Linked DNA regions of Rattus norvegicus. The protein of the gene in region 2 interacts with the protein of the main gene of each other region in a biochemical or structural test. Links are inferred from orthologs where the notes say so. Each region holds a gene or a part of one and is shown on either strand. Other genes may lie near its edges.

What was found.
Region 1: the proteins of Sort1 (region 2) and Bdnf form a complex in vitro, tested with the Homo sapiens proteins (2 studies listed by BioGRID and IntAct, with this or other methods). The link is inferred for Rattus norvegicus from reciprocal best matches to the Homo sapiens genes SORT1 and BDNF.
Region 3: the proteins of Sort1 (region 2) and Sorcs1 form a complex in vitro, tested with the Homo sapiens proteins (2 studies listed by BioGRID and IntAct, with this or other methods). The link is inferred for Rattus norvegicus from reciprocal best matches to the Homo sapiens genes SORT1 and SORCS1.

The regions. Positions count from the first base shown.
Region 1 is NC_086021.1:116,666,380-116,670,032, reverse strand, and holds part of Bdnf (brain-derived neurotrophic factor), read right to left. Parts: intron 3,479-3,653; coding exon 2,708-3,478; 3' UTR 1-2,707. UniProt on the Homo sapiens protein: Important signaling molecule that activates signaling cascades downstream of NTRK2. During development, promotes the survival and differentiation of selected neuronal populations of the peripheral and central nervous systems.
Region 2 is NC_086020.1:198,667,915-198,671,567, reverse strand, and holds part of Sort1 (sortilin precursor), read right to left. Parts: intron 2,615-3,653; coding exon 2,508-2,614; intron 1-2,507.
Region 3 is NC_086019.1:259,532,669-259,536,421, forward strand, and holds the start of Sorcs1 (VPS10 domain-containing receptor SorCS1 precursor), read right to left. Parts: upstream 2,819-3,753; coding exon 2,261-2,818; intron 1-2,260.

The DNA.
Region 1 (3,653 bases), on a different chromosome or scaffold from region 2:
ATATTTTTCTTGTTTTACATGGTGAATAATATCTTTACCATAGAGAGAACAAGGCCACAGACATTTACTTACAGTTTCAATGGGAATCACTATAAAAAGCATCAGGCCTGCTGCCATGCATGAAACACTTCTGCCAAAAAGAGACCACAGCAAGACTTTCAGAACAGAACAGAACAGAACAGGACGGAAACAGAACGAACAGAAACAGAGGAGAGATTTTAACAAATCAATCTCAGGTCAACATAAACCACCGACATGGAGCTATGATGTATCTTAGTGGGTATGAGAGCCAGCCACTGACCACACAGTTGCGGAGGGTCTCCTATGAAGCCACCTAATCGACCTGGCCCTTCGAATACCGTGAGATTGTGATGGGGCTCCTTTTATTTGTTTGACTAACGTCTCTCAGAATGAAGCTGCAAAAAGTTAGCATATAGCAGATATTCAAAGCATTCCTTAATAGGTTAAAAATGATGACAGAGATTAATGTTGTCAAACGGCACAAAACAATCTAGGCTACGTGAAGTCTTCCAAAAACAGGGGATTCAGTGGGACTCCAGAAGACAGACTAGTTCTAAAGGAACAGTTGAACAAAAAGAAACTATTTGCTGATGGTATCTTCACTCCCTGAGTCACAGTGGACAGCCACTTTGTTTCACCCTTTCCACTCCTAAGATGAAGCAATTGTTTGCCTCTTTTTCTGATGCCCAGGAGCCCAGTCAGGTAACCACTAACACATTCGCGCTGGCGGAAAACCTCACTAGGGAAATGGGCTTAACACTAGTTCTCATTGGGGCCATTCATTCAGGCTTCCAGCTTGACTTCTCCTAACCCCAAGAGGTAAAGTGTAGAAGGGACCCTTGTGCTGAATGGACAGAACTATCAGGAGCTTTCTGTGCTCTTCACTTAAGCAGTATTTCCTCCTGTGTTCTTGTCTCTTTCACAGTGAAAGCACCTTCCTATGCCTTGTCATTCTAGCCCTTACAGACAGACATTGCTCATTCTGCCTAAGTTTTGGTGCTTTTTCTGGTTTTGTTTGTTTGTTTTCTTCTTTCTTTTTTCCTTTCACCAAAATGTCTCAAAAAAATAAATAAATAAAACCTAGGCTTCCTGAAGTCTAAGCGCAAAGAAAGTTAAGTCTCTTCACAGCAAACATTTCCCATCATGCTGCACTGATAGCATCACTGCTATGCCATATTTGGATCCAAAGCTGCTCCAGGTTAATCCAACTTTATCCATAATTATTTAAAATGGGATGGAGGCCATAAATGGATTTGAGTGTGGTTCTCCAATTGAGAACCTCTTGAGCACTGTTAGGTAACGTAGGCACTTAAAGCAGAAGGCCTAAGAAACTTGACACATCATTCCAGAGCCTGCTCTGAAGGGTGCTTCCGAGCCTTCCTTTAGGAATGTCTCAAGTACCATTCCCCACCTCCATCTAGACCTCAGGATGGCCACTCAGAAATTCCTCCTGCTCTGCCAGGAAATAGTATGTCAGCTCCACTTAGCCTCCACAGGGCCATTCAGTCGCATTTCAGTGGCAGTGTGGATCCCTGCTCTAGTATCTGGCTGTATGCAATATCTTTTATCTGCAAACATTGTTAGGCCATATTATAACTTATCCACTGTTTATGCCTTTAAAAAAAAAGAACATTTTCGGTTATTCTTACTTGTTTCTCCTTAGGGCAAAAAATAAAAAAAAAATCACTGTTTTCCACGAGTGTCATGAAATGACACACATTGTTCATCTGTTCACAGCAGTGATAAAATATTTCAAAGCGCGCAACTTAATTTTCTTTCTTAAAACAAAACAAAAAAGAAAGGGACCAAAATGGGAGGAGGGAGGGAAAGAATGTGCTTTAAACAAATGCTGGTCTTTCCAATAAAAGCAGCTTTCCCTGACCCATGCCAGAAGAGTGACCTGGGGGACCAGGGAGATACATCATGGGCAGTGTTGTGTGAGCATTTTATTCAGTTGCCTTAATTTTTATTCGTTTTCCAGTCATCTGATTGGATTTTGCAAACATTTTTTACAACATACAAATGTAACGCTTTATCAACCAGAATGGAGAGTGAAGAAATTTTCTCCATCCCTACTCCGGGTGGAACTAAAAAAACAAAACAAACAAACAAACGAAATAAAACACAAAACAAACAGAAATCTACCCCTCCCGTTCCCCATCCCCTAAGCCAGTAAAGCAATGACAACAGCACCTTGACATAGTTTTAATTCCAACGCTATGAGAAGTTGAAAGCAGTAGAACAGAGTACTAACAAGAACGAAGATACTTAGTGTCTAAAATGTAAACGGAATGTTTTGGTTCAAATTTTTGTTTTTGCTTTTTTTTGTTTTTTGTTTTTTTGTCTGTTTTCTGAAAGAGGGACAGTTTATTATCAATTCACAATTAAAGCAGCATGCAATTTATTATTTTTTTTAACTTTTTGTTTTCAATTCTTGGCAACGGCAACAAACCACAACATTATCGAGGAATGTAATGCAGACTTTTAAAGTTGTGCGCAAATGACTGTTTCTTTCTGGTCATGGATATGTCCAATAAATAGATTGTAGAACCACTGTACTGTATAAACTTCATTTATACATGCAGTTCATAAAATTATCTTTTTCTTAACTGAATAATTTACCCTGTTATGTATATATACAAATAGATAATTTTTGTCTCAATATAATCTATACAACATAAATCCACTATCTTCCCCTTTTAATGGTCAGTGTACATACACAGGAAGTGTCTATCCTTATGAACCGCCAGCCAATTCTCTTTTTGCTATCCATAGTAAGGGCCCGAACATACGATTGGGTAGTTCGGCATTGCGAGTTCCAGTGCCTTTTGTCTATGCCCCTGCAGCCTTCCTTCGTGTAACCCATGGGATTACACTTGGTCTCGTAGAAATATTGCTTCAGTTGGCCTTTTGATACCGGGACTTTCTCCAGGACTGTGACCGTCCCACCGGACATGTCCACTGCAGTCTTTTTATCTGCCGCTGTGACCCACTCGCTAATACTGTCACACACGCTCAGCTCCCCACGGCGGGCGGGGTCGGAGTGGCGCCGAACCCTCATAGACATGTTTGCGGCATCCAGGTAATTTTTGTATTCCTCCAGCAGAAAGAGCAGAGGAGGCTCCAAAGGCACTTGACTGCTGAGCATCACCCGGGAAGTGTACAAGTCCGCGTCCTTATGGTTTTCTTCGTTGGGCCGAACCTTCTGGTCCTCATCCAGCAGCTCTTCGATCACGTGCTCAAAAGTGTCAGCCAGGGACGTCGTCGTCAGACCTCTCGAACCTGCCCTGGGCCCATTCACGCTCTCCAGAGTCCCATGGGTCCGCACAGCTGGGTAGGCCAAGTTGCCTTGTCCGTGGACGTTTGCTTCTTTCATGGGCGCAGCCTTCATGCAACCGAAGTATGAAATAACCATAGTAAGGAAAAGGATGGTCATCACTCTTCTCACCTGGTGGAACTGTGGGAAGGAAGCAGAGACAGACACAGAACAGGTTAGACCTTACTTTCTTGGGGACACCATGTGGCCCATCTGCTTGTAATTTCAGACCTTTTTTCTTTCTTTTTTTCTTTTTCTTTTTTTTTTAATGTCTTACTGATCCACTCCAGCTGCAGGGGACACAAATCAATGTCAG
Region 2 (3,653 bases):
TATTTAGCTAAGAGATGACGTTAGAACCTCAGGGTGAAGGGCTGGAGAGATGGCTCAGCGGTTGAGAGCACTGACTGCTCTTCCAGAGGTCCTGAGTTCAAATCCCAGCAACCACATGGTGGCTCACAACCATCTGTAATGCGATCTGATGCCTTCTTCTGGTTTCTGAAGACAGCTACAGTGTACTTATATATAATAATAAATAAATAAATCTTTAAAAAAAAAAGAACCTCAGGGTGATAACTACAGTCTACACGCACTATGGCTTAACTCGAGGTATAGAACCAACCCATGTAGCTTCTTCTTTTTAGTGATCGATTTATTTTTATTTTATATGCATTTGGTGTTTTGCTTGCATGCATGTGTGTGTGAGGGTGTCAGGTCCCTGGAGCTGGAGTTGCCATATGTGGGTGCTAGGAATTCAATCTGGGTCCTCTGGGAGAGCAGCCAGTGCTCTTAACTGCTAAGCCATCTCTCCGGCCCCCAGTCTATGTCTCTTTTGCTAGATGAATGCATAAAGAGAGGATACAGTGCATGCACAATGGGATGTTAATCATTCTCAACAAAGGACAGCCTGCTGTTTGCAACCACATGGATGAGCCCAGGAGGCTGTCTGCTATGTAAAATAAACTAGGCATGAAAGACAAATGCCACATGATGTCACTTAAATGTGGAATCGACAAAACACACTAAACTCATACAAGCAGAGAGCACAGTGGTAGCTGCCAGGGATCAGGAGGCAAGACAGGGAGGGGAAAATAAAATCTTTAAAAAACAGGGGAGTGGGAGCTGGGGGGATGGTACAGAGGTTAAGAGCACTGACTGCTCTTGCAGAGGTCCTAAATTTAATTCCCAGCAACCACATGGTGGCTCACAACCATCTGTAATGGGATCTGATGCCCTCTTCTGGTGTGCATGAAGACAGCTACAGTGTAGTCAAATACATAAAATAAATAAGTAAAATCTTTAAAAAAAAAAAAAAAGACAGGGGGGGCGATATTGGCGAAAAGGTTCTGAAGCTTCTGTTTTGGACAAGTAAGTTCTGAAGAGCTAGTAAGCATTATGGACCGCATCCTGCAAACTGTGTGACATACTTGAAATCTGCTAAGAGAATAGGTCTAAATGCTCGAATCACACATAAGAAAGAGATAGCTTAGTTAACTGATGTATGCATTAATTAGCTTGACTATGGTCATATATCTTACAATGTATACAGACAGGAAAATGTCAAACCATACATTATGAATATATGCCATTTAAATTTATCAACTATACCTTACTGATGCTGAGGGAAAAGCACATGTCAGAAAGTAGGCAAATGTGTGAAGGCAGTCTAACCACTAGTGCCATTCAAGGAGCTCATATGAGGCAGGCGTGTAATATCCACACTTAAAAGACAGGGCTCACAGATACAGATACATATGACCTCGAGATTAGCCTGGTCTACACAGGCCCAGTCAGAGCCACACATGAGATCCTGTCTCACACAAGCAGATAGATCTCAAGTGGTCACAATAGTAAACATTATGTTTTCTTATTTTGCAAAAGGCTAAGCCAACTATTAGTGGAATAAGAATGATGACTGGTTCTAACTGGATGGGCGCCAAGGTAGGCTAGGACTACTGCAGATTACAACCAGCCGGGGTTTAGGGACACAGACGTGGCTTCTGTGAGGACACTGGGAGGATACAGAGGGTGTATAGAGAACAGCAAGGGTGTGTCGGTGGGGAGAGGTAGACAGAGCCAGGCAGGACAAAGCTTTCATTCACAAGAGAGGCTCAGTCTTTACCCCAGTAAAGCGAAACCAAGAGAAGGTCTTGAGGGAGCCAGGGGAGCCAGAAAGCGCCAAGGAGAGAAGAGACTATAGCCCCTGCCTTGGGCATGGTGAACTGGGCAGGGGTAGCACAAACCCAAGGCAGAAGAACAGAAGGATGGAGAAAATAGAAGCAGATGCATTAAGTATGGATACGAAAGGAGAGTGTGAGGAGAAGGTGTCACGCCATGTGAGATTCCCCACAAAAAGACTCCAGGCTGGAGAAGCAGAGGGGCCCTGTGTGTAACAGGTCTGAGAGGAATGTGGGAACAACCAGCTTCACTGTTGTTGAACTAAGTTCTTCCAGGCTGTGCCTACCCACACCTATAATACAGGCTGCTCTTTGGCCCCTGAAGGACTTCCAAGGCCTCACCCCACCATGTAGATCCTTAGCTAACAATAAGTACATCTGTCCATTCTGTCTCCCCTCAGAAATTTGGTAAAACAAATGGTTGTTACTCCATCTTGTTTTTCTTTTAAAAAGTCAGGCAAGCCACAGTATCTTGGCTTCTCCGTACAGTTTCTACTTCACGAATCCTAAGTAAATTCATTATTCTCATTTCTAAGCCTTCCACCTTCGCCTCTGGACCCTGACCAAGAATGAGATTTCATCATGGAAAAGCTCAGCATTGGCAGGAACAGAGCAGGCTGGCTGCTTTTCTGCACACACAGATGATGGTTGGCACCAACAAACCTCATTCTTGTTCTTTGCGGTAGCATCGCACTTGCTGTTCTCCGGCTTCTGCAGATGCTCCCACCGTCCTCCCTGGTCAAAAGTGATCATGCTCTGAATGGAATTATCTAAATGGGGAAAGAGTAACGTAAGCCCAGTGCATTGAAGAAAGAGTGATGTAAGCCCACCCCACTGGAGGCTACTACTCCAGTCAGCCAGCTACAATGGAACTGCTCTTCAGAAACTCCAACCATCCATCCATCCACCCATCATCCATCCATCTCTCCATCCACCCATCCATCCATCCATCATCCATCCCTCCCTCCCTCCCTCCATCATCCACTCATCCATTCATCCATCATCCACCCATCCATCCAATCTCTCCATCTACCCATCATCTATCCATCTCTCCACCCATCCATCCATCATCCATCCATCCATCCATCCATCTATCATCCATCCATCATCCACTCATCCATTCATCCATCATCCATCCATCCATCATCCATCCATCATCCATCCATCATCCAGCCATCCATTCATTCATCCATCCTTCCCTCCCTCCATCCCTCCCTCCCTTCATCATCCATCCATCCACCCATCCACCCATCCACTCATCCATCCATCCATCCATCCATCATCCACTCATCCACTCATCCATCCATCCATCCATTCATCCATCATCCACTCATCCATCCATCCATCCATCCATCCATGTTTACATATAAATGCATATTCTGTGTTGAGCACATTTCCCTTCGTGCCCTCCCCTTCTTACCCACTCCTCTGACTGTGGAACCCCATCTTAACACCTTACGCAGTAGCTCAGCACTGGTGACTATCAGGCCAGAAGAAGGTGTACCACTTGAACAGGATGTCCCAGCCAACCACCAGGAACTGTTGCTACTGAGAAACCCCAAAGCTCTCTCTTATGCTGTAATTTGGATCTCAAAGTCCTTCCTCATTGCCACTGCCCGGGTAGTCACAGCTTGGGTGCCAGACTGAGATTAGGCCAATAAGAGGAAGTTCCGTCACGGGCTGTGTCCATGAAGGGACGTCAGGGTCTTTCTCTTCCAATATCTGAGGCAATGGGCTTCATCTATTACATCTATCACTTCTACCATGATGCGGTGATTCAGACTCAAAAGCAGTGGGGATACCTGGCCA
Region 3 (3,753 bases), on a different chromosome or scaffold from region 2:
TGAAGCATCCCCAACTGTAGATGAATTCCTCACCCACAGCATGTTGCCCATGCTGTAGTAAAACACTAAGGAGTGAAACAGGATTCAGGTCTTTCTACGCTTCCATTGCACAAAGTTAGCCAAAGTGTCTTTCTGCATCGTTCCTCTTTACAAAATGCTTTAACGTTTTGCTCTCCCGGGTTCCTTAATGGAACTGGATAAACAATGTTTTCTCTTTCTTCATCATCTAGACAATACATAATAAGATAGATAAAGCAGTTACATGAGATGCTTAGAGCTGGACCTGGGAGGAGAGAGGACGGGAGGGAACTGTGAGGTATGAGCCCCCCTCATCACTGTGCTTAGCATAATTTGAGTGTTCAGCCTTTAACACTCAGCACCTTCATTATTTCCTACATTATCTTAGATTCATGTTCCTGCCCTAAGCCACAATTCTAGTAAGCCCCATTCAGCTCATGTGCATCAAAAAAAAAAAAAAATTAAAAGCTGGCAGTGCTTGGCGCCATTTCTAAATGGAGGTTAAAATTTGCCAAGGATGTACTCTCTTTCCAAGATCTTTTAAGAGATGAACTGAAGTAGAGGTTTAATGGGTGAGCGACATTTTACAACCTGAATTACGTTAAAAGCCAGAAATATTTTGGTCCAAAGTTTTATCTTTCTTTTTTTTTTCTTCTTCTTAATACAACAAGATCTAACACATTGGATACATTGAAAATCTCCTCCTAAAGCCAGAGCTCTGAGTTAATCACTTAATGGAGCTGGAGTTATTAGTCAGTATTGGAAGATCCACGTTAAAATGAAAGGATCAAGTTCAGCAACAATTAGACAAAAGATGTAGATCGCACAGTGCTCCAGGACAAGAGTGTCCAGAACTTGAGTAGGAATTGCTTCAACTTTAGATTTTGATTAAAACCGTTTCTGAGAACCTCCAGCAGCAGCCCCACATGAAGGCTGCAATAGACAGAAATCAGGGGCTGTCCTCAGTAGAGGGTAGGCTAGACCGCCTAATGCATGACACTGTATATTTCAAAACCTTCTCAACTCTCATTAAAAACCCAACAATGAACACAGCTCAGTGAAGTGGCACTTGTTGGCAAGCTTCCTGGAAACAGTTTCAAAGGTACCATGTTGTAGCCACCGTGCACATTACAGACACAACTCCATCAGGGGATGGAAGCTGCAGTTGAGATCCTCCCCCTACCCCCACCCCCACCTAACCCCCAATCCCCATTTTATAAACCTTTAACTTTTCTTCTCGCCTTCATGGTTCATGGCACGGCAGTCTAAAGAACTTTACGCGCTTTTAAATCTTCAGTTATTACCATCAAAGCTGCTTCGTTACTATTTCAGCGCATTGAAGTTTCTAGGTTTGGGCTAAACTGGGTAGCTTCCTCAGATTTCAAACATACAGGCTTCTCTGAAAATCGGAAGCTCCTGATAGAAACAGTGAGTTGCACCCTAAATCTTTTCTCAGCGACTGAAATCTCGTCCTGTTCTTCATAAAGGGAAACTCAAATCTTTATTTGAGCTCCTCCCTAGAGGAGGTCAGTCGGTGGGAAAACAGGGAGTTGTTGTCACTGGAATCTATCTATCTGATCTTCCCCAGGCTGACCATGCCAGAGAACAACTGCCCTTTCATGGGTTAGAAAAGCCTGACTCTCAAGATGCACTTGCTAATGCTGTCAGGAGATGCTGGGAAGCCTCTGCACTGAAACTTGCATCCGTTTGGTCCCCAAATAGATCCTAATACCAAAGGGCACCTTATATCCTACTGCAGTTTGCCTTCTCTGGGGTGGAACAAGGGTCTAGGAGCTCTGAATAATAATAAAATAAAAAACCCACAGATGCGACTTCTCCGTGCACCCCCAGTAAGTCTATCAGGTAAGGAAATGTCCCTTCAGTGAATTTCAGTGGGCTTGGAAATTTAACCCTTTCAGCACTGCATTAAAAATACTTTAACGCACACACCACCCCCACAGTTGGTCTTCAGTTCCACTCTCCAGTGTCATTGAAGAAATAAAAAAGATCTGCCTGTTCCGTTCCAGTTTGAACCTTTTGATCTGGAGAAGACTCTGAAGGTGGTGGTGGGGACTCCCTAGTAGGCACCATTAACTCTTGGGGGGAGGCCAGATGGGAAGACTTCACTGTGCAGCATCTCCCAAGAAAGAAACCCCTTTCCCCCAATTCTCCACCAGCTCTCACAGTGAATGGTAACCCTTTCCTTCTCTCACCCCTTTGCCCACAGTTCCACTTTACTCACGCTGCTGTTGTGGCCAGACCAGTGGACCATAGCTTGGTTGTGTGCCGAGTCTCCAGTCAGCGCAAATGTGGTGCTGGTCAATCTCAGCTCCTCCATCCGGAAGCGAGTGGCTTTGTCCGGGTCCCGCGCGCCAGTCCCAGGCCCCTGCTGCCCTCCATCCCTTAGCATGTCCCGGCGGCTCCGACTCGTACCCTCTCCGGGTTCAGTCTTCTCAGGATCCATTCCACTCCGTCTCCTACGGCCAGAGCGTGAAGCGGTCGCCACTGACACCCTGCTGCCCCCAGCTCGCTCCAGAAACAGCGCCCGGTCCCCGGGGGCCACTGCGAACAGGGGTCTCATGAAGAGGGGCGGGGGCGTGGCAGGAGCCCGACCCAGCGGTCCGGGGTAAGAAAAGCCTCTTGGGGTAAGGGTCCAGCGTGGGGTCGAGCTAGGGTGTTGCGGAGGGCAGCAAGAAAGGCTGCTGCAGATGCCAGGGGCTAAGAGCATCAGAAGCCCGGCTCCCGTTAGGAGCGCGCTAAGCGCGGCCGAGGAGCCGTCCCCGGCGCCAACTTTTCCCATCTCTGGAGCGGAGAGGAGCGGAGAGGGGGTCCCGAACCGAAGGCAGGCAGCGGAGCGAGGCACTGGGCTGACGGCGGCAGGGTGTGCGCTCAGGACCACAACTCCATCCAAGTTGGGCGGCGGCGGGGCGCGCGGAGGCGGCGCCGGGCAGGTGCCTGCCGCTCGCCCAGGCTGGGCTTGTGAGGAGCGCGCGGGTTGGGACGGAGCTGCGAGCCACCGCCGCCGCCGCCGCCGCTGCGCGGGGGTGGAGCCGAACTGAAGTCACGGGCAGAGAGGGCGCCGCGCGCCGGCTGGCGACGCGGGAGGGAGGGCGGGCTCTGCCAGGGCTCCGGGCGCTGCGTCCCGCCGGCGAGCTGCGCTGTGTACAGGGAGGCGGGCGCGGGCTGTGCTGTCCCCGACCCTCCCCAAGGAGCGCAGAGTCCCCGCAAGCAGCCAGAGTACCCTTCCTCTGGGGACGAGCAGCTCCTTGCTCCCTGAACAGGCGCTGTGAAGGGTTTCCTATTCCTGTTTTCTCTTCTCTACTCTTTGGTTGTTCCCCCTCTCTTCTCCTTTTCTTGTCTTTTCCAGTTTAGAAGATGAGTGGGTTCTTGCTCTCTCTCCCTGTTAAACTGGGCGAGTTGGCATCTAGTCCTTACTTTGTGTGCCCCAGCCTGCAGAGGATCTCAGAAGGCAGCAGAGAGTGCTGCAATAAACTCTGTGTGTGTGTGTGTGTGTGTGTGTGTGTGTGTGTCCTGCTCAGTCTATATGTGTGTGTGTGTGTGTGTGTGTGTGTGTGTGTGTGTGTGTGTGTGTATAGTTGGGGAGGTCCCCCCACCCCCTTTGTGATTCCTCCTAGACTCCTTTCCAGGTTTTTTTTTTCTTTTTCTTTTTTTATTAACTTGAGTATTTCTTATATACATTTCGAGTGTTATTCCCTTTCCCGGTTTCCGGGCAAA